4 linked regions of the Drosophila melanogaster genome follow. The gene in region 1 interacts genetically with each later gene. Each region holds a gene or a part of one and is shown on either strand. Other genes may lie near its edges. The genes, in order: cac, comt, stj and Dab.

Region 1 (7,360 bases):
ACGCTTTACCACCGTGTTATTATTGCACTTGAACTGAATTTGGAAATACGAAATTCGATTAGATGCAAATCACACACACACACACACACTCGATTCGATTCGATTTTGATTACGATTTGAAGTGAAACTGGTCAGATTCCGGAATCTCTGTTTCATTCGCTTGGCTTTGCGTTAGCTTTGAGTGTTTCGATGTTGTGCTACTTATTTTGCCAACCGATAATTATGATGCGCTCGGGTCAATTCAGTTCATGACCTATTGAAAACATGCTCATACACTCGCGCACGAACATATACATACATATGGATTGGATGGGAATGGGCATGGGCATGGGTATGGGAATGTGGTTACTCAGGTGCATGCCAAGTGCATGGCTGGTGTTATTTTTGTATCCAATATGTGGTGTATCTGTAGAGAAGCTGATCCACAACATTTCGGACTGGCAATGGCTATGGACACGGTCTGCAGATAGATGTGGTTATTTCGGTTATTGGTATAAAATTCCATTACTGGAACACGCCATGAATGAAAAACGTTAGGGGATGAAAAAGTCAGAGGCTGAGAGACTGGCACACATACAAATGCATGTGTATGGAACACCAAAAAAAAAAAAAGCTCAATACACTCGCACACACACATACACGGGCTGTGGTGAGTTGTGAAACGGTGAGATTCTGAATTCCGACTGGAAGAATTCTGAAAACTTGTTTACCTTTTACGGAGTATTCTTGAATTGACAAACTAGCCCATAAGGCAGTGAAACTACGAACAAGGTTTTATCTTTACAGTTATTTGCAGATCAATCAAATGTTTTGATTTACGGGGCTGATAACAAGAATTGGCATTTGCAAATTTCAACTCTCTCCATTCCATCCACACACACACACATATACACACGTACCGGCAGAAGCTCTCTCCCCCTCTCTCTCTCACTCTTTCTCTTTGGTTTCAACAATCACTGGGTCACACCGATAACGATAACATCGCAACCACAAATCGCTTGCCTACTTTTAAGGGCCCAGTAAATCTGGTTGCATTTGCATTTAAATTAACTATTGCCCTATTTTGAATAGTTCATTTTCAATTGCGCAAAGCAATGTCTTTTCTTTAAAAGCAATTCTTGTTATTTATTGCAATTGTATAGTTCCAGCTCTATTTTCCCTAGTGACGTCACCAGGCACAGTTGTCTGAAATTTTTTTTTTTTTTATGTTGACGATGTCTTTCGGAACGATTTTGGGTTTTTGGAATGGGCAGAAGCTATATATATCTGTGTGTCTAACTACAATCGGGCCACAGTGAGACCAACGAACCTGTAATTGCCAAAAATAAACAGCAACAATGACACACTTGCCATCGTTGCCCCCTCTAAACTAACGCTTTTTGTTATTTCTTTTTTTCTGGAAACTGTTACACTTTTAATTGGGCTTAAAGAACCAACTAACTGAAATTTGATATGTCGTTATAAGTTTAGTTACAGAGCACACGACTACCACAATATTTGTTCATATGCTCGCATTCAATTCCCCATACGAGTATTCATATGAGCATTGTTAAAAGAACAGAGACAAACAAATTTTTCACTTCCGTGAAGAGAGGAGAACCATCATTAGAATTCGTTTCCGGTATGGAAAACATATACATGTGTAGATTTGTATGTGTGTGTGTGGGTTGGGGAATTTACGACTAGTAAATATTTGTGTGGACTGAGAATATAGTTAATTTAAATATTAATTTGGGGGGTGCTTCCTGCTACATCGCCGCAATTCATTCACCTCGAAAGTGCGTGTACACGTCACAAAAATAAACGATATACCGATAGGCTAAAAAACACCCGAAAACTCCATATCTCCTTTTCCTTCTCCTTCAGCTTTAGCTTTGGCTTTAGCTTTTCCTTTCGCCTTTGCTTTTCCACTTGCCTCTTGCCACATCCACTTCCACTTCCATCCACCGCAATATATAGCACCACCGACGCAACATTCCGCCCGTTGTGCTACCGACCCGCTGACCCAATCCCAACAACTATGTATATATATATGGCTATACATATATATGTATATGTATATGTATATGTATATGGATATGTATATTCGTGCGGGTGTGTTGGTGTGTGTGTGGTGCGTTCGTGGGGCTTGTTAACTTTAACTTTTACAACTGGTTTTTAAGGATAGCTTCGGTAATTGGGATTTGAAACGAACGCATATATATATGTATATGAATGTGGCTAAAAATAAAAATTAGATCTGGTTGCCTGGAGGAGCACAATCAGAGGTCGTTTATTGGCTTCAGTAAGCCCGAATAATGCTTTTCACTTGGTTTCCCGATATCTTTTCTTGCTATTTTTGCTGTCCTCGCCGCCATTGTCGCCAATTCGACGTTTTGCCATTGGGTTTTTCACGATTTTTCACGATTTTCACGCTTTTCCGACTATATTTCTTGTTCTTGGTTTGGATGTTTGTAGTGTTATTTTCACCACTCGACCCGAATTCGGATGCCAGCGCACACAACATTCGAAATGTGGAATTTTCACAGCACTTTTAACCCCGCATTGCGAGTGATTTTCACTTGATTTCTTTAACGCCAGGCTTCTGTATTCAGCCACATTTTAGTTGTCGCACATTTGCTGTTAAATTGACTGGGTCCCGAGTTAAAAATAAAAAACAAAAACCGCTTCTACGGGAGCTGTCACCACCGACTTTGTCTCACCAGTTGGACGAAAAACTCAACAAAACGCAAGACTTCAACTCGGCGACTTTGTATCACATACTACCACATCGCCAGGGTCCAAACACACGCACAAAGGGCAAAAATATGGGGAAAAAAATCTACCAGCCCTGCGCTCTGCATCCGCCCGAAAGCTCTGGTCCAAGCTTCAGTTCAAGCTCAATCGGACAATCGGAGGTGGACACACTGGCCAGCCAGTGCGGAGGAGAGCGCATGCGTGTCCTCCAAGGAAACCCGCTCCTAGGACCGTTACAGTCGTCGATTGAGCTTTAAGCTCCGCTTGCTCTTCACCCCTTGGGAACAAAACTATCGAACTTTCGAGAAATCGCGGTTTTAAAATCCGGGCTTAAATCATACTGCTAAAGTTTAAAAAAAAAGCGAAGCGACGAAGTTTAAGCTACTTACCCATTCTAAGAGTTTTTTTTTTAATTGATTTAAGTAATTGATTTACTACTGCCACAATTGTTGATAAAGCTTTAAGCTTTAAGAATACTTTCAACCCCTTGTAGTAAAAACTTTTGCATCAAGATATCGGTTATTTGAAAACCCGGCTTTAACCGAATTACAAATGATCAAAGGCGCTCTCATACTTGACCTAATTAATTAATATATAAAACAAACAACATATTTTACTCTATTTCAGACTTAATTTTATCTCTGTACATTTCAATAACCCTCGTCAATTACCTTTGCATACTATCTTTAATAATAATGAATTTTTACCAATTTTCAATACTTTTCTAAATATCAATTGATCTTTTAAAATAATGTTAAGTTTAAATAATTTATATTTAAATTGGTAGTGGTACTCACATTAGGTCGCCTAGATTCGGTCGCGTCTGGACAAGAGCAAAACTTTCCGGAGCCCGGCGCCTTTTGTTAGACCCTTGCGAGCCGTAGTGCGTGCTCCGCCGGATGACGCCATCGCCGATGATGGCAATATTGTCATCCAGACCGTTGATGTTGCTAATGGTCAATCGCGCCATAGGAGATGAGCCCCTTCGGCGACGAGCTCCCACTCCGCCCAGCATTCTGGGAATCGATGAATCGAACTTTGCAATACGCGAAATGTACTCCAAATATTGCCATTTCTGTAATATATTCACTACCAACTATCGGGCACGTTCACAATACAATGCGTTGCACTTGTTTGGGGATCTTCAACGATTGCGAATGTCCGTAGACGACGGGCCCAGAGCCCCAGGTGTGATGCACCAGCTGCCACGGTCCGGACGGAACTGATAGTCGATGGCTACGACTGCTGTCGATGCCCCAACAACCCAGCAAGATAGATAACGGCCCAGATGGCGATGACGACGATTGCGGCTGATGACGTGCGATGACGTGCTTGATAGTAGTCAGCATTTGCGCAGTACAGTGTCTGCCGCTGGTAATTAGGGTGTCCAGGTGTCCATGGGTGAACGCCGCTCAGACGGGCCAGGCCGCCCACTCCGGCATATTAGCAGCTTCCTTTGTTCACGAGCGCCAACAACACACTGATAACAAAGGCATGGTAAACGTTACTGTATTACAATTAATTTCGATATCAAACATACCTGTGATTCTTTCAACATACACGTTTTCTATATGTGGTCAGAGGAATTTAAACATTGCAAATTTCGAGATTTTTAATGTTAATATTATGGTGGAGATCTAAAAGCGCAGCGATTCTATGGGAAAATTCCTTTTTGGCTTTCCCGTGCCATAATTTATTATTTGAATTGCCCTACTGTCTTAGATAAAAATAAAACTGAAATGCCATAATCAGAAGTTTTCGTAATGAAACTAGCAAAAAAAAAAAAAGAAAAAACCGATAACCGCTAATTACTCCGAGTAACTTTTGCCCATCGCCATGCCCAAGGGGCTATTATCACAGCGCTCACTTAGAAATGCGTTCCCATACACATTTCGGATGTGATTCAAATTACAAAGGCCGTGATCCAGTCCAGAAACTTGGCCACGTCGGCATATATAATGTACTGATTCTTACAGCAAAGCTTATGGCTAGATTCCGCATCCGGTGTCTCTACGGCGGGCAGGGCCGCTGATACTGTGCCACGCAGCATCCAGCGATTGTTCCGGCGGATGAAAAGTCCGGCCCCCGATATACCGGTGTAAATGCTCGCCCCGCTCTGATGCGTATCTCGTTCCTCCGCCTGGATGCCGGCGCAAAACGTTCGGTTTGAGGATAGGCTGCGAAAGTGGGCATTGGCTCGAAAGCATTCGGCATTGCCGACAATGGGAGCCTTTACTACCTTGGGTGCACTGGCATCGGTGGACTTCTTGCCCGGTAGCTCCGACGACAGCTTCTGATCCCGCGTCCTGTTCGTTCTGTCAAAGCTCCAGCCGATGACGATGCCCCGCTCGCCCACAATGTACTCCGTTTTGCTGGAACCAGACCACAGGCAAGCGGGTCGAATAAAGGTGTTAAATCTGCGTTGAAAATAATGGTATACTGTCAATATAATAAATGATCTTCATATTCGATTTCACATCGCGGTTTAGATATGAATCTAAATCTTGAATATGTAAGCTTTAGGCATATTGGCACCCACCGAACTTCGTCCTTGAGTATAATCACTGCGATATCCGCATCGTAGCTGCTCAGCTGACTGTTAAAGTCGGGATGAATGTAAATGCCATCGACGGGGGCCGCCAGAGATCCCTCCTCGTTCCAGTTCTTCAGATTGTGGCGGCCCAGAAAGACGAGCACCTCGTTGGATGTGTAGCGCTTGTTGAACAACTTGAAGCAGTGCGCCGAGCTGATTACAACGCGTGCCGAGACAAGCGAACCGCCGCACTGAAAGTCCAGGGAGGTCAGGTTGTTCACATAGATGGCCGCTAGCCAAGGCCACGATCCCCTGGTGATCGATGGCAGGCTATCGGCGCTATCGCTTTCTATCGCTTCTGCTTCTGATTCGTCCACAAACTGATGCTCCAGGACATCGTCTTCATCGTCATCGACAAAAACTGGCGATGTGATGCCATCGGAGCTCTTTGGTTCACCGATTGCGACATGAAGTGATTCCGTTCTTTGGGACAAGTGAAAGTCCAGATCCCTGTCGATGCGTCCGCAAATCTCCTTGGGCGCCTGGGCAAAGGGTTTTCTACAAAAGCGGACATTAAGTAACGAATGAATGTCACGATCGTGTGTGTGTTTTAACCGACCAAAATCCGGATGCATACTTCTTGAACTGGATGTGCGGCGTACTGGGCGGCTTGTCGTCGGTTTTTCTCACCTCCTCCTCCTCGGGATCTAGCAGCAGGGAGCTCTTCTTATCCGGTATAAAGGACAACTTCCTAATGTGCTCCAACTGGATTTGGGTCATGAAGATGCTGTGCTCTGTGGTGCGGGCAAACAAGTCATGGATTAAATCGTTTGCTACCCAAGTTCCGTGGATACGCACCGCCGGATCCGAAGCAGATCACATGATTGTTGGCTGACATGAGGAGCAGTTTGGGCGGGAAGTGATGTTTGGGAAAGCGGATCTTATACAGCACCGGTGCATTGTGGGTAAACTTGCCGCGTGTGAGTAGCTCGATTTCGCCCAGATAGTTCTGTGTGTACTAAGGGGATTAGGTAACATCTGGATGACAATATACCACTTACCGTGGTGGGCTTGCCACGCATCGAGAGCGTAACTCGTATGTGGAGCGGCTGGTGGCCATCCGGACTGCGCACGGCCATCAGGCCGAACCATTCGCTGCCGTCGAAGCGGTACTGAAACACCTTGGGGCACGGACTGATCGGCATTCCCTGGGCGACTGCCTTGGTTACGTGCTCGATGCAGAGGATCAGGATCGCCGCCAGGTGCAGCCTCATCGCTAGTGTCTGGGAATGCCCGGGATGAAAATGCTTTTCACTCAAAACAAACGTAAACAATGCCGCAATTTCGATCGAAGCTTTAACAGTCCGGGAACACTGTGTGCATTTTATCCACCAACAGAGTTGCCAGACCAAGAAAGTAACCCCTGTTAATTAAAATGAGAGAGGGGAAATTGATCCTTTAAATTCTCAATTCCGTGCAAGTTCAAATTTCAAAAAACTTTACAAATTAATTATATCCCACAAATATGGATTCTACGAAACATTTACTGGATCCACTGTTAGAACTAAAAGGAATATTTTTATAATTTCCAAGTTTATTGTTGTCTTTTTTTTATAAAAACTTAAATTAGCAAATGCCTTGCTATTTTTACATGGGTATTTTACATGGGTATTTACAAAGAGATCGTTTGCTATGATGAGGTCCAAGCTCCAATTTGAAGAACCACATTTATTTGAAATTATCTGTGCTATTAGGAAAATTCATCCTCCTCGCCATAGCCCCACTCGTCCTCGATCTCCTCGTTGCCAAAGAATCGCTCCAGATCCTGTTCAGCCTCCGCCGGAACGGTATCGGCGGTAAGCAGTTGGTCCTGATCCTCCGGACAACCGCGGCAGCGACTCTCGTTGATTCCATAATTGAGGCAATTCTCGCCGACGCACTCGCAGCATCCGTCGTGGAACCATCGATAGCTACTGGCTCCCATGCTCTCGCACTGCTGCCGGCACTTGTTTGCCCGAATGCACGAGTTCACATAGATCACGGTGCATAGGGTGACACCTGCAGACCCGGCATTTCCATTTCCATTTCCGT
Region 2 (8,162 bases), 1.3 Mb from region 1:
TGCCAGAATGCCATCAATACGCTCCAGAAGACGATAGCCATACAGGTAAATGGGAGAACTTAGCATGTTCCACTGGTCGCCTAGCTAACTTTTGGTTTCCTTTGGTTTTTGTAGCAAACGCATTGGCCCTGCGTGAGGATGCTGGAGCACACGGTTGGCTTGTCTGCGCTGGAGACGCTCAAGGTGGAGCACGACGAGTCCGAGACGATCAACGCCATGGCTGGCCTCTCGATGCAGTCGATGCACAGGTGGGTTTATGGTCAAGTTCATTAGCCCATGGTTTTTTGTGGATACTTTGATGATAGGAATGAGTAACTAACCTGTATATTTGTAATTTACAGAACTCTATCCCGCGATGATTCCGAGGAGCCGATGGATCAGGATGAAACCAAATAGAAGGCGATGCAGACGTATATTGCGGAAGAGGAGGCGGTGGGCGTGGCGAGGTTTTTGTGGACCTGGTAGAGTGGGAATGGCAGGAGGGGGCGTGGCCGCAAGCTGCTCAATGCACATTTAGTTATTTGTTGTAGTTGAATTGATTGTTGTTGCTGTTGTTGTTGTGGCGCTCGCTTGCAATTGTTGTCGTTGTCATTGATCGTCTATAGCCACATCTATCTCTCTCACTCGATCGATTATAGCATCCCAATTCCCCGCCCCGCCAAAAAAAACAAAAAGAAGAGAAACATCGAAAATATAGGGGAACATGTCTAAAAGAAGCAGAACAGGGCCTAAAGTTCAAAATGGTGGCTGTGCCTCCAAAAGAAGAAATAATTATAATAATTAGAAAAGAATCCTTTCAAAAAAAAAGGAGATTTTATATGAATATATATATATATGAATATATATGTAGCTTAAGCTCAGAATTTAGTTGTAGAAGTCATCGAGATTTTTTTTTTTTGTTTTAAGGTGAGAGCAGAGGTATTTTAACGCACACACAAACACACGCAACTCAATGTATCTTATTATTATTATTTAAGTAAGTGTGTCAAAAGGATATAGAACCACTAACGTACTGGTGAACATCATCAGTAAGCTATAAAGATAATGTTTAAAGAGGTCGGGTGCAAGAAGCATGTGTTTTTTTTTATAAGGTAAGGTTCAACCTCAAAGTTCCCAAGTCTAGACCCCACCACGCCCACTTATCCGCCATCGCTTACAGAGATCGAGTGGGGAGTTGATTACATGTTATGTAGAATGCTTTAGTTGATAATAAGATATGAGAAAAAAAAAACTTAACAACTAACTAGTTGGATGAAAAGCGAAAAAACTGAGAAATCTTTTTGTACAATTTATAGTTTAGTGCAAGTTTCAAGTACAACATGCTATTATTTAAAGAATTCTATATATATACATATATATATATATATATACAAAAAAAATATATATTGTGCAATAAATGTGAGAAAATGAAAATCGCCACACAAAACAGAAACTAAAACGAATAAGAGAAAATTTGTTGTTAAATGTTGCCGAGATCTTATATACGTATGTATACCTAATAACTGTTACAATAATAACCCTTTATATATATAACTATATAAATGCACATGTGTATTCACCATGTGTGTAACGATAACGATGTTCAACAAATGTCTGAAATGAAGTAAAACTATTATTATATGTAAATAAAACACAAAAAACAAAGAGAACAATTTTAATAAAAAAAAAGCAACAATAAAATACAAAATCAAAGAAAATATCCACGCTCACACACACACATACACACACAAACATATATACGTCCTGGGCAGGACCCGAGAGGCGTGAATCGGGAAAAATTCTGAAATAACCGTTCAATCGCTAACCGTTAACTGTAAAACCGCTGTAACTGTATTTGTACTCGTGTACCTTTAGCTGTCTATAGCCGTCTCTCTCTAACTCGCTACCTAACTGTAAAGGAGCACCTCAATAACGAAAGAAGAAGGAGCAACAGACAAGGATCAAAAATATATAGCAAGTGAAAAGGATGATGGAAAGAAGGAGGAGGAGGAGGAGAAACAAGAAAAATAAGCACAACGAGAGATGGACCGATTGGCTCCAACTGGATGAAACAATTGTTAACAAAACGAAACAGAAACTAAAAACTATCCTTAAAAAAAAATGAAATCACAAATGTAACTATTAATCTAAGCGAAGCATATGCCCTTGCCATTTTTATTTTCTTATTATTCACCTGTTTTCTCTTTTCAATACAGCAGATTTTTTGAAAAACATACTTTTGAACATAAGCTGTTTCGTATGCAAGCCACGTAATTGCTGTTACTTAGGAATATATATATACGAATTTTTCTTGGGTTCCAAAAGCGTTACAATACGCTCTGTGTTAAATCTGTGCTTTTATTTTAATTTTCTATTTATAATTTGGCAAATTGGCGATCTCCCCTTACCTTACCTTTTTTTATCTTTCCTGAATTTGTTTTTTTTTTACCAAAACACGAATTATGAAGAGGATTCTACTAACAAGATGAAATATTATTGTTGCGCACTGCAAAAAAAAGGAAAAAATAATGAATAATTCCGTAAGCTGAGAAATAGTTAAATAACGGTTTTAGCAAAATAAAAACGAAATCAAATATTTATATTTTGTTTATTGTTGCACAAATAAGTCCAAGGAACGAGAAACAAGAAACAATTAAGAGTAATATTGTGTGTCGCTTTTTCTAAACGAAATAAAACAAAGAAATCGTCAAGAGAATTTTCAAAATGTGTTTGTTCTATTTTCATTGCTGTTTCATTTGAATTCAGAATTCAAAGTAATTTATACAGAATGGTAATCTGTGGTTGCAAGCTGAATGGGATTACTAGGTTTTTAAACATGAATAAGAATACTCCCGACTTTAAAAAATATTTCTTTTTTTTTAACTGCAAAAAAGCGAGCTAGTTAAAATTGGAATTTAAGTTTGTTTTACTTTATTCAAGATATAATTATAACATTGGCGGTTAACAATATTTGATTTAATAAATATTTAATTAGTTTAGTTACCGATAAACAACGTTCACAATGCCCAAAGGCAAATACTTTGGTGTTTTCTCCCGTTTTTTCGTTTCCTATTGAGAATTTACTGAAGCAAAAGTCCTAAAATTAAAAGGTAACGAGAAAGATTATCATGCCTTTAACGAGTTAGTGGCTACGCGTGTTAATTATTTATAAATGTAATTGAGTATCTGTCCATTTAAGCCATATATTATGTCATTTATATGCCATCATCTTCAGGTCACGGGTCTCACATATCTGTCTGATTTGATTGAGCTCTGTGGGGGAACTCAGAAGCACACGAAACTCCTCCGGGATGTGGATTGTGATTTTTATCTGGGCTTTGGGACCGAACAAACATCGCGAAGCCTGGATCGTATATATATATATAACTCTATATATCTGTGTATATGTTTAGCGGTGTATATGTACGTGTACATTGAGATTCTGATTTGGTTTCATCGCTATTCATCGCCCGTCCTTAGCACTTAGAAGCTAATAATTGAGACTCCATTTGGGCACATGCAGTTTAAGATGCCTTACTGCCGCGCCACCATGTCGAGACCACCCTCCTCTTCCATCTTGGACAGGAACTTTATGGCCCGCTGTGATTGCTCCGTTTGCCTAGCCATGTCAATGAGACCCAGCAGCTTCTTGATGCCAATAAACACGCTGGTCGAAATGGATAGGTAAATTAGTAAATATTTATAGGACTTTTTCTTTGGAATCATATAGCTTACCGTTTTCCGGCCATCTTCTTGCCAATCGCCTGGATTTCGCCCTTGCTAAAGATATCCGTGTTCTCCAGCACGGCCAGAACGTGGTCGGGCTTGGAAAGATTGGGCACGTGGAGCACCGAGGTGAAGGCCGTCAGCATCTCCATCTCTTCCAGGACCTCCCTAAAAAAAAATAAAACAAGTAGGAGTAGTAAGTACTGGGTAATCTCGACAGGGAAATCCCGAATCTCAACACACACACACCTCCTGCTAGATGTGCACAATATGAGCAATTTGCGGCCCTTTGGCGGCTGTTTCTTGAGCAGCACCAGCAGTGCCTGTAGCGTCATATTGGAATATCGCGGCCCAATCGATCCGTAGTCCAGCAGACGCTCCACATTGTCCACCACAATGCAGCTAAGCATGGAACGATACGCGTCGTCGAAGATCTTACGAATGTGCAGGCACTTGGCCGATTCAGTGTAGCCGACCATGTCCTCTGGCGAGCAGACCTTCACGAACGGAAAGTCTGACATCTTGGCAAGCTGAGCGGCCAGTGCCGTCTTGCCAGAGTTGGGTGCTCCGGCCACGAGTACGGAGACCAAGCCGCTAGATTCTGGAGCCTTGGCCTGCTGCACATACAGCATGCCGTCCTCGAGGAGATTGCTAACCGGTGCTCCCCAGTTGATAACACCGCGGGCCAGCATATTGTCGAGAATCTCCTGGGCCGTACCGAATGCCGGCTTAATGTCATGCTCCAGCGAGTGCAGGAAATCATCTCGATTGACCTTTAACTTTTCCATGGCCTCAGGATCAACGGTCACCTTGGCATCGGCCTTGATCAGTCGGTTCATGGCACTCGACTGGGCGGCACGGACCAAACCCTCCAGCTCGGCACCGCTGAAATTCTTGGTCAGCGCAGCGATCTCCTTGTTGTCCACATCGTCGTTAATCTTGTTGAATTCACGCATCCGCTTGGTGTGGATATTGAGAATCTGGACGCGACCCTGCTCGTTGGGCAGGCTGATCTCCATTTGGACCTCGAGGCGACCCGGTCGCAGCAAAGCCTCATCGATCATGTCCCTGCGATTGGTCATGCCGATAACGAGAATGTTGTTCAGCTGATCAACGCCATCGATTTTGGTTAGCAACTGATTGACGACGGTGTCGTGGACACCACTATTTCCGGCCACGGAGCCACGCTGCTTGCAAATGGCATCGATCTCGTCGAAGATGATGATATGTAGTCCACTGTTGGGACCCAGGCGTTTCTCCTCCTCCTCCGCCTCGGCAAACAGACGCCGGACATTGGCCTCCGATTCGCCCACGTACTTGTCCAGGATCTGTGGACCGTTGACGATTTTCGGCTCCCGGGCGTTTAACATAGTTCCGATTTGGCGAGCCATCAGAGTTTTGCCCGTACCCGGTGGACCATAAAGTAGAATGCCCTTGACATGCTTGCAGCCCAGCTGCTCGACCAGTTCCGGTGGGAAGACACGGGATGCGAAGGCTCGTCGAAATATCGAATTGAATTCCTTGTCCAGGCCACCGATGCCCATTTTGCCAAAGTCCCAATCCGGGTTTATAATGGACTGGCGGACCACCTTGCCCTTGCTCTTGCCCTGCAGATTCAGCGAACTGTTCTCGGCCTTCTCGAACTGCACCACGGTGTTGCCAAGGATGCGGCCGAAGCGGACATTACGCATCGCGGTGTCCTTGCCCTCGCCCAAGCTCTTGGGATCGATGGCCTCTAGGGATTTGACGGCCAGGCCGAGAAGTTTCTTGTCCTTGAAATTGAAGACCAGTGATTGGCCAACGGTGAGTGCCATTCCGGCGAATTGCATGATGAACTCCTTGGCCATTTGATCGGAGTCATAGGGTTCCTGGGAGACACTGCATAGGATGGTAGATAACAATCGATATTACATAATATCCTTGACGCCGTATACTATATATATGCACTCACGTCTTCTTCTGCAGAAAGTCCGTCTCAAAGGACACACAAGTGATGACATCCGAGCTGGCATCAAAGCGATAGGGACGAACCTCCAGTTCCTGATTAATGGACACCATGGCCCACTTTCGTTGGACCAGGGAGAAGCCAACATAGCCGCTGGGCACCTCCACCGTTTTCTCCAGCGCAAAGATGAAGTGCTGACCCGGAGCCGGCGATATGTCCGCATATCTGCAAGCGATGCAAGTGGGAATTATATATATATATATATACAAACAATGGACTTTTATGCCCGTTAGGACCACATACTTGATTTCCTCCGGAAAATCACCAACATTCACTATAGCCCGATTGGTCAGCGAAAGCTCGTCCGTGGGACATTTGGTGGCCTTCAAAATCTACGGAAACCATTATAAATCTTTAGTAACTAGTCAAAAATAGTGCCGTAGTGCCTATAAATATTGGTATTTCAAACTCACATAAGCCATTTCTTTAGATTCTTGCTGATTTTCACGGGGTTGTTTAGAATTTGACAAAAATCAATAATTATAATCCAATGGAAGTACTTTAATGGTCAGAAAACGCAGCTTTGTGTGCGAATTAACGTTTGATATTTGTTTACAGTATCACTGAAACAGCATAACTATATATATATATATTAATTTTTGAACGAATTGTGAACTATATCCTTTCTGAACTTTCAAGGAAGATGTGATCTAAAATTTTATTCAGCACATGCGCCTAGGAATCCAGGGCTGGCGAACTTGTTAGTACATCCATATGGGATTTGGTTTTTAAATATACGTTTCTTTTGCCAAGTTTAATAACTAACGACTCGTATTTGCATGATTTTTTTTTTTAATAATAATAATTAAATTTATAAAGCAAGCGGTTGATTTTTTAAATTGGTAGAGTGCTCGAGAGCTCTTTAATATAAAAGTTGTATATGTATAAATATTAATAAATTCTCGCCGGGCTTTTACTAACAAAAAATGTAATCATTTAATTTTTTAAGATTTTCCGGTAAGAGAAGTCTTAAATTGCTACCGCATTTATACCAGAAAATTCGTGGTCCACAATAATCGATTTATCGATAATATCCGACTGAACGAAAATTCAAATCTAGTGTGCGAGGAAATTTAGAGACGAAAGTTTACGTATTTAAGCGTCCAGTAGTCATTGAGTTAAGTGTAGCTACCTGATTCGGATAATTAAGTACTTTTACTTTTTTGGGAGCACAACAAAATTTTGTTCTCGTTCTTACTTTTACACAGCAAAATTTTATAATTTTTTAAAATTTTTCTGCCGGGCTGTTCGACGAAGCAAAATCAATTTACCAGTACTACGACGGTGAGTGACGATGCCAATCGCTAACTTTCTGTACACACGTATGTTACCATTCCGAGAAAGTTTCTAGATAACAAACACGGCCATTGCAGCTTACTTGTATAATAAAACACATTTCTAACACGCTTTTTACACGACAAACCGCGGTTCGATGTCAAAAGTTCGATGCAATAAGATCGACCACTGCTTGCTGGGCGCAGTTCGCGGCATTAAGCCGCCCTATCGCTCGGTGCGTAATGCCCAAGACGGCGTGATTAGCACCTTCCTGGACAAGTACAGTAGGCCCAATTATTTTGCCATCCGCTTGGTGATACCCGCCGAGTTGCCACCCATCGATCTGGCCGAAATACTTATGGACATGCTAAAGATGCAAATATTGCGCCGCAAGAATTGTATCGCGTCGTCCAATTGGGTCAGGATGAAATATATATGTCAATACGGCAGCAAAGCCGATGAGACGTTCATCATGCATGACAGTGCCATGAGAAAACTGCAGCAGGCCATTGAAGAGCTCACCAATCTGCTCGATCAACTGAAGCTGGCGTATGAGCCCGTTTCCTATGGACGGATAGCCGTGCAGGCTCAACAGTTGGATAAGCGGGCCCAGATATGGCAGAATTTGCTCAACGGCCGCAATGAGCAGTTGGAGCGCCGTTTAGCTCGGGACATTTCACTCCCATATCCTCCTGCAATAGATGCCCGCATGCGCATTTCGAAAAGTTATCAAGTTATCAACCATATGCGCACTTGGCGTTTCGGCTAAGGTCAGCAAATTAGAATTTGGTCGAATTTGTTTGTATATCAATATGGTCACTAAAGATGCTGCTGTGATATTTTACCTTGCTTTTGGATATATATACATTTCTTTGGATAGCATCTACCTGGACTGAGACGTTCTACTGTCATAGTGATTCTGATGTCGTATGACTTCTATATTAACTTTAAATTAATCGAGTGCAACGCATGTCGAGATTAATAAATAACATATCAACAACAAAACACAAACTTTGACTTACCTCCGCGCTGCCCGAATTGCAAACAAAGAGAATGATGTTATCCAGCCCTCTAGTGTAGTGGAACTGCTTGTGCGTCTGCTTGCTATATGTTTGACCACTGCTTGCACAGCGCACATGTATGTTCGAACCATGTTCGAACCATGTTCGATGGTAGC
Region 3 (7,104 bases), on another chromosome or scaffold:
GACGAGCGGCCTGGCCATAACCGGTATGTAATTCAAGACCATCTCGCGCACCTCGGCGGTGTCGCTGAGGTGGACGTAGTAGCCCTGATTCTCGCACGCCATCCACCGTATATCATCCCAATTGGCCACCTCCTTGCCAATCAGGTAGGTGAACACACGGACCGGCTTGTACGGCGGGTCCCGCCAATTGTGCAACTCGAAGACCTCGCGATTGTTCTCCGGCGCCCCGTCGCCAATGATCATGATCGCCTGATTGCACTGCGCCCCGCGCGAACTCAACTTGGTCTCTTCCAATAGCTCGAATGCCTTTGTCAATGCAGCGGTATAATTGGCGATCGATTTGGGTCTAAACAGTTCAATCCCTTCTTTCAGTTCGCGTATGTTGCCCAGATTGGCCTGGATATGGTGAGTATCGGGTGTGTTGTTTTTTTGTTTTTTTTTTTTTGGGATTTCGATTGATTGGTTGATTGGTGTTTTGTATTCGTATTCGGTGGCATCAATTGAGTGTGTTGTTGTTGTTTTGAGATTTCGGATTTGGTGGTGATGTTCGTTATTAATTTTTGTTTTTTGGGGATAGAAGAAATCAAATATGCGTTAAATGAAGAGAAATTTGATAAACATAAACAGAATCGATATATACTTGAATCAGTGTGTCTTCGAAACATGGGACGACTGGGCTCACTTCCTTATCAAAGGTGAAGATGTTCACAAAGTCATTTGTACCTAATGTATCGAGTATCGTATTGACAACATGCTTTGCGATATCTAGCCTCTGTCCCAACATTGAACCGGATCCATCCATCAGGATAACAATATCCTTCGGACTCGTCGCCGCCTCCATGTACCAGGAGCGTAGTCGGCAATCGTATAGATCGACCGGTACGTCCTTTCGCCACTTCGATGCAGGGAATTGACGCATAAAGCCAGTCGAACTGCCAAAGAATTGCCACGACAATGTCGGATCGTTTTTGTAATTGTCACGGAATATCTGATCCAAATTCTCCGACCACTGAATTGCTTTTATCACATCCGGTGCTGTGTCAATGTAATCGAGTGTTAGTTGTGTTATGGATTTTGTGTTTTTGGTTGTGTCGAAAGAAACGGAAAGAATTTTGCAAGAAACACGATTAGTTCTTCTCGTCTGCTGACGAGCACTTAATCCTAGCTTTAGTTTTACGGGCTCTATTTTTTTTCTTTTGTATTTAGGTTTGTGTTCTGGTGGCACAAGTTGGGTGTTATACGGTCTTTGGCAAGCATTCCGCGTGTGTCGGAGCATTCGCTTTAAAATATTTTTGTATAGCATATTTTGAGCATTCCCTGGCGTAAAACGCGAGCGCGTCGTCAACGTTCGCATTGCACCGCCATCGGCCGGGGAGGATCGCCAAGGTCAAGTTCGGCGGACCATTAGGTACGGTGGGTGGGCCGGGCGGCGCAATGCGCTGCTTGACGCGTGCACGCGTTCCTCGCACGCATTGACGCAAGCAGTTTGGAAATCGGAAAAAAATGATTAGGGAGGCGCAGCTTACGGCTTCATATCATAATTTTCACATTACAATATAAGGCTTATATGGCATACACAAAAAAAATACAAATTTTAGGGTCAAGCGATCTAGCAGAAAGCTAAGGAGCGAGATAGATAGAGAGCGAGCTAGCTAGCTAGAGGCGGTTTCAAGGCTCTACTTTTTTGGCAGCTAGACAGAGACAAAGAGTGTTTCGTTTTTAAGCTTGTGTTTGATTTGAAAGCATTGAATGCAACCCTGATGATCGAGTCTGGAGCTTTCGTATAATCCAAGGATCTTTTATCGTAAGGATACAAAATAATAAAAATAATAATAATACAATAAGTTTTTATGATCTGGTGATGATCAACACAATAGTTTTCAAGATTATTTCAGAAAAATCTCAAATTTTTATCTTATTCGCGATTTCAAATATGAACGCAATTCAATATCCCCAAACTCGATCGCATAGCATTTAAAAACAGGGTCGTTGAATAGGAACAACACAGACAGGCGGCAATTTCAGTTACAATTACACAGAGCAAAAGAGAGATAGAAATACAGAGAGAGAGAGAGATAGGTGTAGAGCGGAGAAAAGAGATATACGGATTACAACGATGATAATCATTCCAAACCTCGATCGAACACATTGACTGGCACGTGGACCGAACTGACGCTAAAGTTGACCGGAGTATTGTGGAATTCCGGACGCGGTTCCAACACCACCACCTTCGGCTGGACGTAGATCAGCGGCTCGCCTATATCCTTGTCCATGTCGGGAGCCGGTGTGGGAATGGGCGGGACTGGATCGCCGGGCTCCAGCATCTCCTTGGCACTATAATAGGAGAACATCTTGTCCGCCATGTCGTTCTGATGCGACAACGCCGTGTTCTCAGCCGTGTCCATGATTCGCTAGGGATGATATCGGTTTTTTAAGAGGATTTCCTTGTCTATTAGTGCGTGGATTTACTTACCCTCACTGCACTGACTTTTAGGTCCATCATCATTTCGATTTCCTTGGCCATCGAATCGACAATAGAAGCGCCGTTGCGCGAAACGACCTTTGCATCCTTGAAACTCTGTTGGAAAACCAAGTACATATATGAATTAACCGAATGTTAAATGAAAAATGGTTCTATTTCACCAACCCATTGCCATGTCATAAGTACGTGGCCAGAAATTATAGGCGGAACCACCCCGCTAAGCAAGCTTAGAGGCCCCCGAGGGCCTATAGACAAACCCATTCACATGCATATGGAATACTATAGGCAGTTGGCACAAGTGCGGCTACAAATCGTGGGGCAGAAACATTTAATTTGTAAATCCAATTGCGATGCCTAAAAATAAATAACCAGCTGTGCCGGACAGCAAACTGACCTCATATGGGGTGAAGGGGATTTGCAGATGGCTAAGCATAGTCGTTTGGATACCCTACCTCAGAAACATCTATTAAATATCAAAAAATCTATATAATAACTAAACTATTGCAATTGGTTTATTTATGAAGGCATAGCTAGTTAATAAAAAACAAAACTAAATAATAAATACTTGACTGACCTACTAACCCCATTAAAACTTCCCTGCTTTAATGAACACCATTGTTTATATTTAGAAATCAAGTGGATAATTAATAGCTAACTAAATAGATTTTTCGAGAGCATTGGCTCTTCGACCCACTGCCGCACAGTTTCCCATCTGGCTGGTGCTTTACAATTTTTATAATTGCCGCTCGGGCGGCCTTTAACCCAAATTCGGAGCCGAAGTCTCAGCCTCAGAGAGACGTCAACAAGGAGCGCACAAAAACAGAACCGAAAACAAACACACACACGCGCACATAAATAGCGGGGGGCGCATGGAAAATTTCGGGGGAGTGGGGAAAACGGAGGAAAACGGAGCGGCGGAAAAATCAATAATATGCTCTCGGTAGCTCACCTCTTGCACCTCCTTGCGCCTGGTGATGAAATCGCCCAGATGAAACAGCTCCATGCCCAATTTGTCGGCCCACGAATGAACGCTGGATGTGGAAAATGGTGGCGTTAGTCTCGATAGTCGGAATATTCAGGGAAAATGACCAATGTCCGGAAAAACTCACAGATTGTAGTTGATGTTCTCGGCTGGCTGCAGATTGACGCACGGTGCCAAACAGACCAGAACGGAGAGCAGGCCCAAGCAGAGGCGCCACCAGGCCAGGAGACGGGACCAGGCCATGATGATTGAGCAGCGCTATCCTCGGTGTCCAATGATCTAGTAACTGCTGATGATGGTGGTCGATCCAGCGGGAGCGCGACATAAATACCAGGCTCTGCGATTTTCTTAGCCTACTTTGTACCTGCACACACACACATTCACACACTCACAGGCAACACGCACGCACCACGTTTGCACCACATATCCCGTTAGCTCGGTTTTGGCCACCTGCCCTGGCCATCCGGTAGCATACCACCCGCGTCTTCACTGGGGATACCTTCAGTTGCTACTCAATACTCGCCGTCACTCAAGCACTGTACATTGTATTTTGCTAAGTTTTTCCAATTTTCTAAATTAATTTTCCACAGTTTTATCGCGCGACCTAGCACTTTTCCGTGTGTGTGTGTTGTTGGCCAGCGAAAACTTTTCTCTCTACACTGTCGTGGCCGTTTTGACGTTTCTTTTAACGTTTCTGGGCCAGCTTAAAGCTCTTTTGCCCAACATACCTTAGCCGAAAAGGGACAACCCTTGTCTCTCGCTTTTGGCCATTTGCCGCACTCTTCTTTCCACCCAGTGCGCTTGCCCTGACATTTGGCGCATCTGCGCCCTGCACTTGTTTACCTCGCCGCGAGTGCTACAGGTGTTTGTTTACCTGCCAACGCGCCTGCGCCTCCACCAGATTGACGTGCGTGTCCTTCCAGCTGGCCGAGCATCTGTTGCACCAGCTGGCGAATGGTGACAGTTGGCCGCAGGTGAAGCTTTCCAGCTGGGAGGACATAGCACACTAGGAACCCGGGCTACTTTGCCCAAAAGTTGGATTCAAACTCACTTGCCAAAGTAACCGCCAGGTGGCGTTTAAAGAATATTCAGATTTATACTAATATACAATATAATATGAATTACTGCTGAATGTACATATGTATTGTACGACTTCGGCATATGCTTACATTTCAAGATAAGAAATAAAAGTTGAGATTAATTCTTTTTTTTCACAGACCGGACGGAACAAAAGATTGTGCTTGAAACTTTTGTTTTACTGCTTAGGATAGAGCTTAAGTTAAAGCTTTATCACTCCTGTTCCGTTTGAATATCGTAGAATGCAATTCGCGTTGGTGATTTTGTTTAACTTTAAATATACACGCTGTCGTGGTTCTGGAAGAATGTGCTTTCTGTATTCGTAGAGTGGTCGTAGTTCACAAGTTTTGACTAATTATCGATAAATTCTTCTTATCATACTCAATTCTCACAAACAATTTCCGATTCCAGTTTTTTTGGCTGCTGGATAAGCGAGTGTAAACGCGCCTTATACATATGTACCTAATTGGAATTCCAACAATCGTAAAGCTCCAGACTTGACCGTAGTTCCGGAAATCAAATAGCAGTGGTCGCTTTAGTTTATCAATACTTTTTATTGGTATATCGTAAGGCTTACACGTTTCGCAAGATACATATGTGACCCCAGCTGACCCAGTCGAAGCACCACCCACGCCTAGTACTTGTACCCGCCGGCACCACCAGCACCACCGCCGCCGCCGCCACGAGCTCCTGGCTGTGGTCCCTGCGGGTACGTGGCCTCGCCCTCGTAGCTCACGTCCGCGTGGTAGCCCGTCTTCCAGTCGGCGGTGTAGCGGACGATCTGGGTCCTTCCGTCGGGCATCTGGACGCGGTACTCGCCGGTCACCACGTCACCATCACTGGACGCCTTGTGCGCATAATCGTTGGCGGTCTCCGGATCCTGAACGGCGTACTCGAAGTCGTACGGCATGCCGGGCACGTGGACATGGTCCTGCATTTGGGATAATGGATAAGGCATGATCAGTAAAAAAATATAAAAAACTAAAAATACAATTACGAATTATAATTACAGAAGTCAGTTCTAATTTAACAAGCACAGTTTTTGTTGAGAAATAAATCAACATAATCTCAAATCTTAATTGTATCTGTATCTTCATAACGATTATTTCTGGCAATCATAATAAAGATGTATCTCTGCGATGACAAACTGATCTTTGATCCTACACTCGTTGGCTGAGTGAACATTATGTTGAACATCAAATTGGAATAAAAATGCATCTATGGCAAACGCATTACAATGGTTCATTAACCACTGATCTCTGATCTTTTCAATGGCTGATGATTGCGGTTTATGATGATTAAGATATACTCACATCGCCTGGCTGGCCAGGTATGTTGCGGGGAGTGCCAGGAGGTGCGGGTGGCCGGGGTCCAGGTGCCGCTGGTCTTCCAGGTGGGCCGGGCTTCTGTGGGAGTTACAGACCATTTAGCAAATGGAAAAGTCAAAAATGAAATAGCTAAAAATTCCAAATGGGGTGTAAATACTGCTCATTACTCATTGTCGAAGTGAATTACACTGTCTTAGTGATGCCAAATATTTATTGTTAGCTTCGGAAAACTTGAACTGCTGAACTTCGCGTTATGGAAGTTCACCTGCATTGTGATATTTTCGCAACGATCGGTTGTCGTTCGGTTGGTTCGGTTGGATCTCGAAAGGTTAACTTCCATTCATTTTCAACTGCCAAAGCCAAAGCCCTTCACCGACCGACCAATTCGAAATGTTGCCATCATTTTGGGCCGACATTCAGCAGCATGACGTGCCGCATTTATTGAGTTGAGCCACAGCACTCCGGGTGATAAATGCGGCGACAAATCTCGACTGGATCCAACTGGAATTGGCTGCCTCTGCCACTGCCTGTGACTGCAACTGCTCCCAGAATGATGGCCGTAATTAGTCCGTTGACTGGGATTCAATTTGAGGCGGTTGGCCAGGCCATTCGGCCAGATAGGCACATGCCACCATACACACATATATCGACATACCCCCACATACTTAGCTAGATAATTCAGATGGGAGCAATACTCACGAATGGGGTCTTGGGTTCCGAGTAGTCGTAGCCATTCTTGGTGGGCGGGAGGTACGCGTTGGAGCCAGGGGCGATCTGGGCGTAGGCATAGGCACTGATGGCAGCGAGGGATAAGCTCTGCAAGACAATCGAATGGAATTTAATTTAGTAAGCTGAACATAGAAGAAACTATGTCTGGATTAACATTAAGTTTAAGTTTTCGTGTGAAGTAATTTTCTATTCAATTTCATATATCTAACTTTTTTTCACGGTGTAAGAGCCGGGCATTTGGTGCGACATTATATCAGTGACTTAAAGGTCAAATTAAGAGGGCGAACTGAAAAGTGAACGGTTGCAAATGGATGTAGAAGCTCCGATAAGATCGCGACTGACATTCAGCCGTGGCGTAGCAGGTGCATCAGCAGCAGAAGCCTCAGCCAAAGAGGCGGCAAATTATTTAGAACGTGCCCGAAAGGCGTTTGCTCATCGCCCGTAAAAGGGCAGCAAATGGCGGAGGTTAGTGGCGATCTGCCGCCGATTCTGCGATTCCGCGATTC
Region 4 (7,041 bases), on another chromosome or scaffold:
TAAATAGTCTACATATGCATAGGGAATGTAACTCACTTTGTCCAGACACTTAAGCTCCTCGATGGGGTAAACCACCTTTTGGCAACGGGCACAGGTTTTATTCATCTTGCCGCTTTTTCCTCCTTTGTTTGTTGCTTCTGCGACTGTGTGTGTATGTATAAGCCTTTTATTTACACAACAGGATATTACTGTTAACTTTGATTATTTTCCCCGTTTTGACGACACTTTTGCGCCCACGATTTGCGCACGAATTTACGCTCCTCTTGGCTTAATTTTGCATATTTTCTGTGATCTGCGAGTCGAAGAACCGATCGGATCTGAATAGGAACTACGGGAATGTATTTGGTGTGTGTGTAGGTATGAGCCGAGAATTTGATTTACACTATTCACAAAAACATCTAATAACTGGTTTGCTTTGTTGTTGTTGATGTATAAAACAACTGGCGATCGATCGCATAGACTTTTTGTTACCAATTGTGATCCAATTTACACTTTTCTCTTCGTTTTATTAATTTTCAGCTGTCGCGACTGCGCTGCAGGTAAAAATAAGCGACGCGCGCAGTGGAAAAAGAGGAAGAACGACTGGCGTAGGCGTCCGTAATGAATTAATTCCGTTATTTTTGATAACACCGCACAGAGCTCGTAATCTACGATTTGAGTGTTAATTTTTAAGGTGAGTTTGATGGAGGCGCGACACAAACGAAATAACGCGACAATCCGCGATAAATATTCCGTTCCGTTCGAATAGAGTGACCGCAGCAGACTGCGAGCAAAGTGACCGTTGCAAGGTTGTGGTGCAATATTTTTCGATGTCTTGCTATGTTTTTGAGTTCTCTTTTCGGCCGTAATGGCGCCACTGTTTTGTGGAGAAATTGCTTTGCAGTGTGACCATCTATTCGATTGTAGAAAATACCAAGAAAATTTAAATCATCATTTAAAAAAGGATCTTCAACGGTTATACGAGTTTTAACGACATAATATCTTGATAGCTAATCGAACTTTAAGGTACCCTTGGTATAAAATCTTTACATTTTTTTTTTCTATCAAAGCTTAACAGAGAAATTTACTATTATAGTTTCAATTTATGTCAAACCTTTGTATAAACATATGTAATTGTGTGTACCGCAAGTACGAGCAATTACCTATCGGTTGTCGTCGATAGACCGATAGCCTATGTACCGGCTGGCGTACAGGGTGCCCGCGGCACTTGACCCACCACCCTCGAATCCTTGGAGTTTTACTATCGAATTTTCGGTGTGTGTGCATATCCTGCTGCTCCCAGGGCGTAGGACCCAAATTAAACTACAAACCCATTCAAATTGGGTTAAATTAATGGCCAATAACATGCAAAGCAGGAAGAACGTAAAAATCAGCTTGTAAATATTTGCCAAAAGAGTCGAATTGGTTTTTTCGCTCAGCCAAAATCACGAGTGTGTCACCCACTTCTTTGTGCTTCACTTTTTTTCCTGGCTGCCAGACAAAGAAAGCTGCGCGTGTTGTGCAATATTAAGACGGGAAAGGATCAAAAACAACGAATAACAGTTAATTGAAGTTAGATAGCTTACCGCTGCATAATGAAAGGCGTAGCTACATCCCTTTCCCACCCCCCACAACGCCTTAAAGTAGGCAAAGTGGAAGTAAACACGCACACAGAGGCCCCCGTTGGAAAATCGATAATCCGTGCCGTGTCCGTGTGAGCGCGTGCGAGTGTGAGTGAGACAAATGCCGGTGTGTTCTATCGACCGACTGGCACAATAACAACAACAACAAAACGCTGACTGTCAGGAAGTTGGGGAGTGCGAAAGAGACGGAAGACGCAAAGAGCGAAACAAGTGTAAACAAATCACAAAAGGCAATTAGCAATAAAACAACGAAGGAAGTCCAATAAATCATAAATAAATAAAGCTCTTTAAGGCTCAATCATTATTCGCAACATTATACGCGGCCAAAGGAATTACTACACGAATGCCAATCAGCTTTTTCTGAGCAAAATGCAGACGCTGCGCAAGAAAACGAGTCCTTGTAAATGTAAGTAATACAAATAACACCTTAAAACGGAATTTTTTCATCTATAAAGTCTTTTTAAAGTAATTCTTCTTGTGGGAAGAAATTTTTTTTCTTGAAATTTTTGCTAGTGAGGAATGATGAAATTATCAACTAAAAACGCAAGCCATTCACATTGATTTAAATTGCAGTGTTTTATGTCAACAACGAATTTATTTGGTATTGTCAATTGAATTAGGGTATATTATGTATTTTGAACACAGGCATCCCTACTTCGAAGTTCTAAAGTAATATTTCTGAAATCAGTAAAAGAAAAACTGTCCTAAATTGTTTCTCTTTAAAGATACTTTGCCCTTTTAACAGCACTGCATATCAAATTACACTCATACGCCATGTTGTAGAGACATGATAGACCTTTTCTAGGTGGTAAATATTTTGTCAGTCAACTTTTCTACTTTCCTTCCTGCATCTCCCTCGCACTTCTATTATCTGCGTAATTCGACCATAGCGTTCTCCTTTGTTTACTTAAAAAGCTAATCATACTTATGAGCAGGGACAAAGTAAATTCCTCACCATTAAGTAAAACTAAACGTTTTAGGTTTATTTCTGGCCGAAGCTAGCTTTTCAAATTCCGATATATCCTATTGATCGATCCCTCGATTCAATGCTAGACCCGGCTTATCGATAAGCGTCTCAGACAGCATCCGCCAATCGAATAGCAGCTGCTGCGCCGGCGTCGCAGGTGTTGCAGTTTTCCCAAAAAAGATCAACAATGGCCGAGAGAGCTGCTCGTTTTCTGTACTGTATTTTGCGCCACAAAAATCACTAAATAATAGAGTGAAATCTATGTGTACACACGAGTGCCTCAAAGAGTGTGTGTGTGTGTTTTTGTTTATTATTTCAATTGAACAAACTGCGACAATCCAGTCCAGTCGAAAAAGAGAGTCACCGTGAGAGCATTCGAATCGTTTCCACGCTCTCATTCGCTTTTATTCATTCCATGATCGCGCATCGTTCTCCGCTAGAATTTAATTAAATCTATAGCGTCGCGAAAAATCGTTGTGGAATTTATGTATTGTTTGTCCCCCATTGTGTGCCCCCTCCAGCACCAACACCCTCTCGTCATCGTCCGCGTCCCAATGGAAATGTCAACACACACACACACAACAGAGAGGCCCGGAATGCTACACTGATTCTGTTGACACTTCGGTGACCAGAGTTCCAGAATTCCAGAGTTTTTCCAGCCAGCGTTTTCCCAATGAGCAGGAGCAGTACCCACTGAGACTTCGGCCGGGCGAAACATGGTCAAGTCCCTGGTGGCCAAGTTGTCCACAGCCTCCTCCAATCTCTCGTTGGCCAGCACCTTTGGCGGCGGCAGCGGCGCGGCAGAGGAAACGAATTACGCAAAACGTTAGCGAAAACAAACTAAGCAAATACACAAATAACAAACAAACGAACACAGTGGCCCCTCCGCAGTGAGAAAGGGCAAACAAAACCAAGATACAAACATATGCGAAGATCACAGTGAAAATTTTTTTTGATATTGTGCTGATAAGACGAAGCTATATATAAAAAATCAATATTGGTCCTATCACTATAGCAAATTGAGATTTACTAATACAATAAATGCTGATATTCAAAGAATCGAGTTCTTTATAAAAAAATCTGAAGATAAAGAAGATGATCAGAAGAAGTTTTTCAGTGTACATACATGTTTAAAAATCTTTTAAATTCTACTTAGACGTTCAAAACTGTTTTAGCATTCAGTATAAAATTGTAATAAAGATGCTTCGGAAGGCAAAGAAATAATAAAACTGTTTTTAAATCATAGTTCCCAGCGGAAGGAATGAAAAGTGATGCGAAATATTGAATAGAACAATGAAAGTCTTCTTGATCTTGAATGAAGATTTTTAAAATTTCAAATTTGATATACCACAATAAAAAATATATAATCCATATAGATTTTGCATTCCATCAAAGCATCATTTTAAATATTGGATGATCCAACGAGGAACACAAGTGTTCATTCAAGCACATAATTACTCGAAAAATTTGAAAAATGAATCATTCAAAATATTTTAATGGGGATTCGGTCCAATAAACCCAGATTTGTGCACAATCCATAGAGTTTTGTCGAAATGGATTATACTTCTTTTGATAAACTAATGAGTAATTAGTTTGCTTGCCATTTCATCTTATATTGCAAATATTAAAGCATTTTCTTTTTAATTTCGGACTAGATGGTTTAATTATATTATAGTTCCGTTTCCTAAATACTCCTTTTGTAACTTTTTTATGTTTAAATTTTTTGAAATGTTGCCAAAATTTGTAACAGTGCTAAATAAAAACGTTCATAAATGTGGGTTCTCTCAAAATAAATCAGCCACACCCCAAATCCCACGGCTTCCAAAACTGACGAGTGACCACTACACTCTGTAAAACATTTTCGCCAAACCAAAATTATCCGAATACACACCTTAACAAACACAAAGACTCATTTTGGCATTCGATTCTTGGGCTCATTTTCCAGATCGCAATGATCCGGGACGCTTTTTCGGCGATGGCGTTCAGTTCAAGGCAAAGCTCATCGGCATTCTGGAGGTAAGAGTTTACTTTTTGGATAAATTTCAGTATCTAACATTGTGATCTTTCGAAATTTAAGGTGGGCGAGGCCCGAGGTGATCGGATGTGCCAGGAGGCGCTGCAAGATCTCAAAATGGCCATCCGGGCGGCTGGAGAGCACAAGCAGCGGATAACCATCCATGTGACCATCGATGGTCTGCGGCTGAGGGATGAGAAAACGGGTGACTCCCTGTACCATCATCCGGTGCATAAGATCTCCTTCATCGCGCAGGATATGACTGACTCGAGGGCCTTTGGCTATATCTTCGGATCGCCGGACAGTGGTCACCGGTTCTTCGGCATCAAGACGGACAAGGCGGCCAGCCAGGTGGTGCTGGCCATGCGCGATCTCTTCCAGGTAGTTTTCGAGCTAAAGAAAAAGGAGATTGAGATGGCGCGCCAGCAGATCCAGGGTAAGTCCCTGCACGACCATTCCAGCCAGCTGGCCTCCCTGTCGTCGCTGAAGTCCTCCGGCCTGGGTGGCATGGGTCTGGGCCACTCGGATTTGGCCAGCGGAGGAATCTCATCCGGCCATGCCCTCACCCTGCTGGGCAGTAGTCTTAGCACCACGAATGGAACGAGCAGGCTGGGCGTGAGTCTTGACGTGGCCAAGGCATCCGGATCGGCGGCCAAAGAGGTTCGTTACCCAGTCATATGCTATTTCAAACTATTTTTCATTACAACACTATATTTTATAGGTCTCTCCGGAATCCGTGGCCGATCTTGTGGACTTGGAGCAGGAGCTTACCTCGCTTCAGCGGGGAATCAGTCAGATGGAACGGATAACGCCAAACGAGCCGACCACCAGTAGCACTGGTGGTGCTGGCCATCCATCTCTAGCGAAATCAGCCAGCGAGGACGATCCTTTCGGAGACTCGTTTATCTATGTGCCCTCGTATAGCATACTGCCACCGCCACCTGATTCCGGACGCAACAGGCACAAGCCGCCCAACAAAACACCTGATGCGGTGACCAGTTTGGATGCAATGCTTTCGCCACCTCCTGGTACAAGTAGCTCCCACGGCTCAGCCTCCGCTGGACTACAGGCTGCAGATAACGACGATGACAACTGGCTGCAGGAACTGGACCAACAAAATGATGTCTTCGACACGTCCAAAGTGGTGAGCAGCAGTGGATTGGGTTCGGTTTTGGCCATGGCTCCGCTGGCCTCCAGCGAATCCACGGCCACTCCCACCCAACAACTGACGGAGGTTGCTGCAGGATCTGGACCTCTGGCTGATCTGGATATTGGACTAAGTACGGCCTTGGGAAATGAGGAACAGACCTCCACCATTTTGTCATTGGGTGAGTTGAAAAGAGCATCGCTCCTCCTACTTTTCCACATCATCGAAATTGTCGCGTCTTGTGTGAAATTTGATCGCTTTGTCATCTCCATTGAAGCGATAAAAGAGCTGTCTGTGATCGTGTGGGGAGTGGTCAGTGGAACTAGATGTGTCCGCCCGGCAAGGGAACAATTGGTAGTCTTCTTGGGTCAAATTAATTGAACTGAATGGAATCTTCGGGGGTAAAACATTTAACAAAATTTAGATTTCTTTGTAATTATACAAAACCTGTGGAATAATAATTAGTAAAGCTAAACAAATGTAAATTATACACTGAATGTGTAAAGAAACTCTTAAAAATCTAAACATATATTTTGTATAGTTTTGAAAACGCCTTCATTCTTTATTTTTTTTTTATGTGACTTATATTCTTATTATTCTCCAATCTTATTTTGTTTATTAAACATTTTAGGTTTGTCCCCTCTTTACGTTACTTTTTTAATCTTAGTTTATTTGTGGTTTTGGTTAGTAACGTGCTCATCCTATATTCAAAGCTACTTACAACAAATTAACTTATATGTCTTTTAAATAGGGATCTTCGTTTGTGGATTTGTTGTCTTCGGAACTTACCGAAGATATAAGCTTTCTTCTTCCATTTCTTCTGAGCTCTTTGAGTTTTTCTCCTGTTTTTGATTTTGTGCCAAATGCGAATTCGGAGTCTCCGCTTGGGAGCTGCTCTCATTGCTTGTTATCCCTGTCGTTTTCCTGATCCCTTCTGTTCCATTGTTCAGATGCGTTCACGGATTTGGATCCGCTAGGCACAGGACGCACCAGGCCGTATGTCGATAAGAAATACTTCTTCCAAGAGCTGAAGAATCCGCCGAAGAAGCTGCTCAAGGAGCTCAGCTCCGGCAGCCAGGCGGGTCTCGGTCTGGGTCTCTCTCTGGGTCAGTTGGATGGCCTCTTTCCGGAGGATAGCACCACCATCTCCACAACCACCACCACAGCTACTAACATCACCGCAGGTACTAACCAATCGCAATTCCAACACCATTATTGCACAGAGAAAAAAATCATTAACAACTGAAATGCATATTCTTTATTACGATAAACGAGTTGTGCATCATTTTTG

What was found.
Region 2: of cac (region 1) and comt, changing one enhances a phenotype caused by changing the other (phenotypic enhancement), as found in Drosophila melanogaster (one study listed by BioGRID).
Region 3: of cac (region 1) and stj, changing one suppresses a phenotype caused by changing the other (phenotypic suppression), as found in Drosophila melanogaster (3 studies listed by BioGRID).
Region 4: of cac (region 1) and Dab, changing one enhances a phenotype caused by changing the other (phenotypic enhancement), as found in Drosophila melanogaster (one study listed by BioGRID).

What each region holds. Positions count from the first base shown.
Region 1 is NC_004354.4:11,981,144-11,988,503, forward strand, and holds the start of cac (cacophony), read right to left. Parts: upstream 3,945-7,360; 5' UTR 3,752-3,944; coding exon 3,534-3,751; intron 2,773-3,533; exon of another isoform or gene 2,693-2,772; intron 34-2,692; exon of another isoform or gene 1-33. Other genes in the region: gd (gastrulation-defective), read right to left, coding at 4,640-5,153, 5,276-5,827, 5,907-6,063, 6,128-6,287, 6,331-6,543; tsg (twisted gastrulation), read right to left, coding at 7,020-7,360. UniProt on the Drosophila melanogaster protein: Voltage-sensitive calcium channels (VSCC) mediate the entry of calcium ions into excitable cells and are also involved in a variety of calcium-dependent processes, including muscle contraction, neurotransmitter release, gene expression, cell motility, cell division and cell death.
Region 2 is NC_004354.4:13,257,216-13,265,377, reverse strand, and holds comt (comatose), read right to left. Parts: upstream 6,358-8,162; 5' UTR 6,133-6,357; coding exon 6,124-6,132; intron 6,043-6,123; coding exon 5,954-6,042; intron 5,876-5,953; coding exon 5,657-5,875; intron 5,584-5,656; coding exon 3,955-5,583; intron 3,874-3,954; coding exon 3,715-3,873; intron 3,647-3,714; coding exon 3,514-3,646; 3' UTR 2,890-3,513; downstream 1-2,889. Other genes in the region: HDAC4 (histone deacetylase 4), read left to right, coding at 1-45, 115-248, 342-396; CG15742 (uncharacterized protein), read left to right, coding at 7,143-7,754. UniProt on the Drosophila melanogaster protein: Required for vesicle-mediated transport. Catalyzes the fusion of transport vesicles within the Golgi cisternae. Is also required for transport from the endoplasmic reticulum to the Golgi stack.
Region 3 is NT_033778.4:13,803,206-13,810,309, reverse strand, and holds the start of stj (straightjacket), read right to left. Parts: upstream 4,126-7,104; 5' UTR 3,708-4,125; coding exon 3,592-3,707; intron 3,514-3,591; coding exon 3,432-3,513; intron 2,579-3,431; coding exon 2,474-2,578; intron 2,412-2,473; coding exon 2,135-2,411; intron 1,036-2,134; coding exon 641-1,035; intron 397-640; coding exon 1-396. Other genes in the region: Cpr50Cb (cuticular protein 50Cb), read right to left, coding at 5,176-5,472, 5,855-5,947, 6,569-6,685.
Region 4 is NT_037436.4:16,710,907-16,717,947, forward strand, and holds the start of Dab (disabled), read left to right. Parts: upstream 1-2,753; 5' UTR 2,754-3,305; coding exon 3,306-3,414; intron 3,415-4,534; coding exon 4,535-4,605; intron 4,606-4,666; coding exon 4,667-5,263; intron 5,264-5,324; coding exon 5,325-5,931; intron 5,932-6,700; coding exon 6,701-6,934; intron 6,935-7,041. Other genes in the region: lasp, read right to left, coding at 37-105. UniProt on the Drosophila melanogaster protein: Together with Abl, involved in embryonic neural development. May have a role in eye development. Acts as an adapter protein for SH2-domain containing proteins during sevenless (sev) signaling.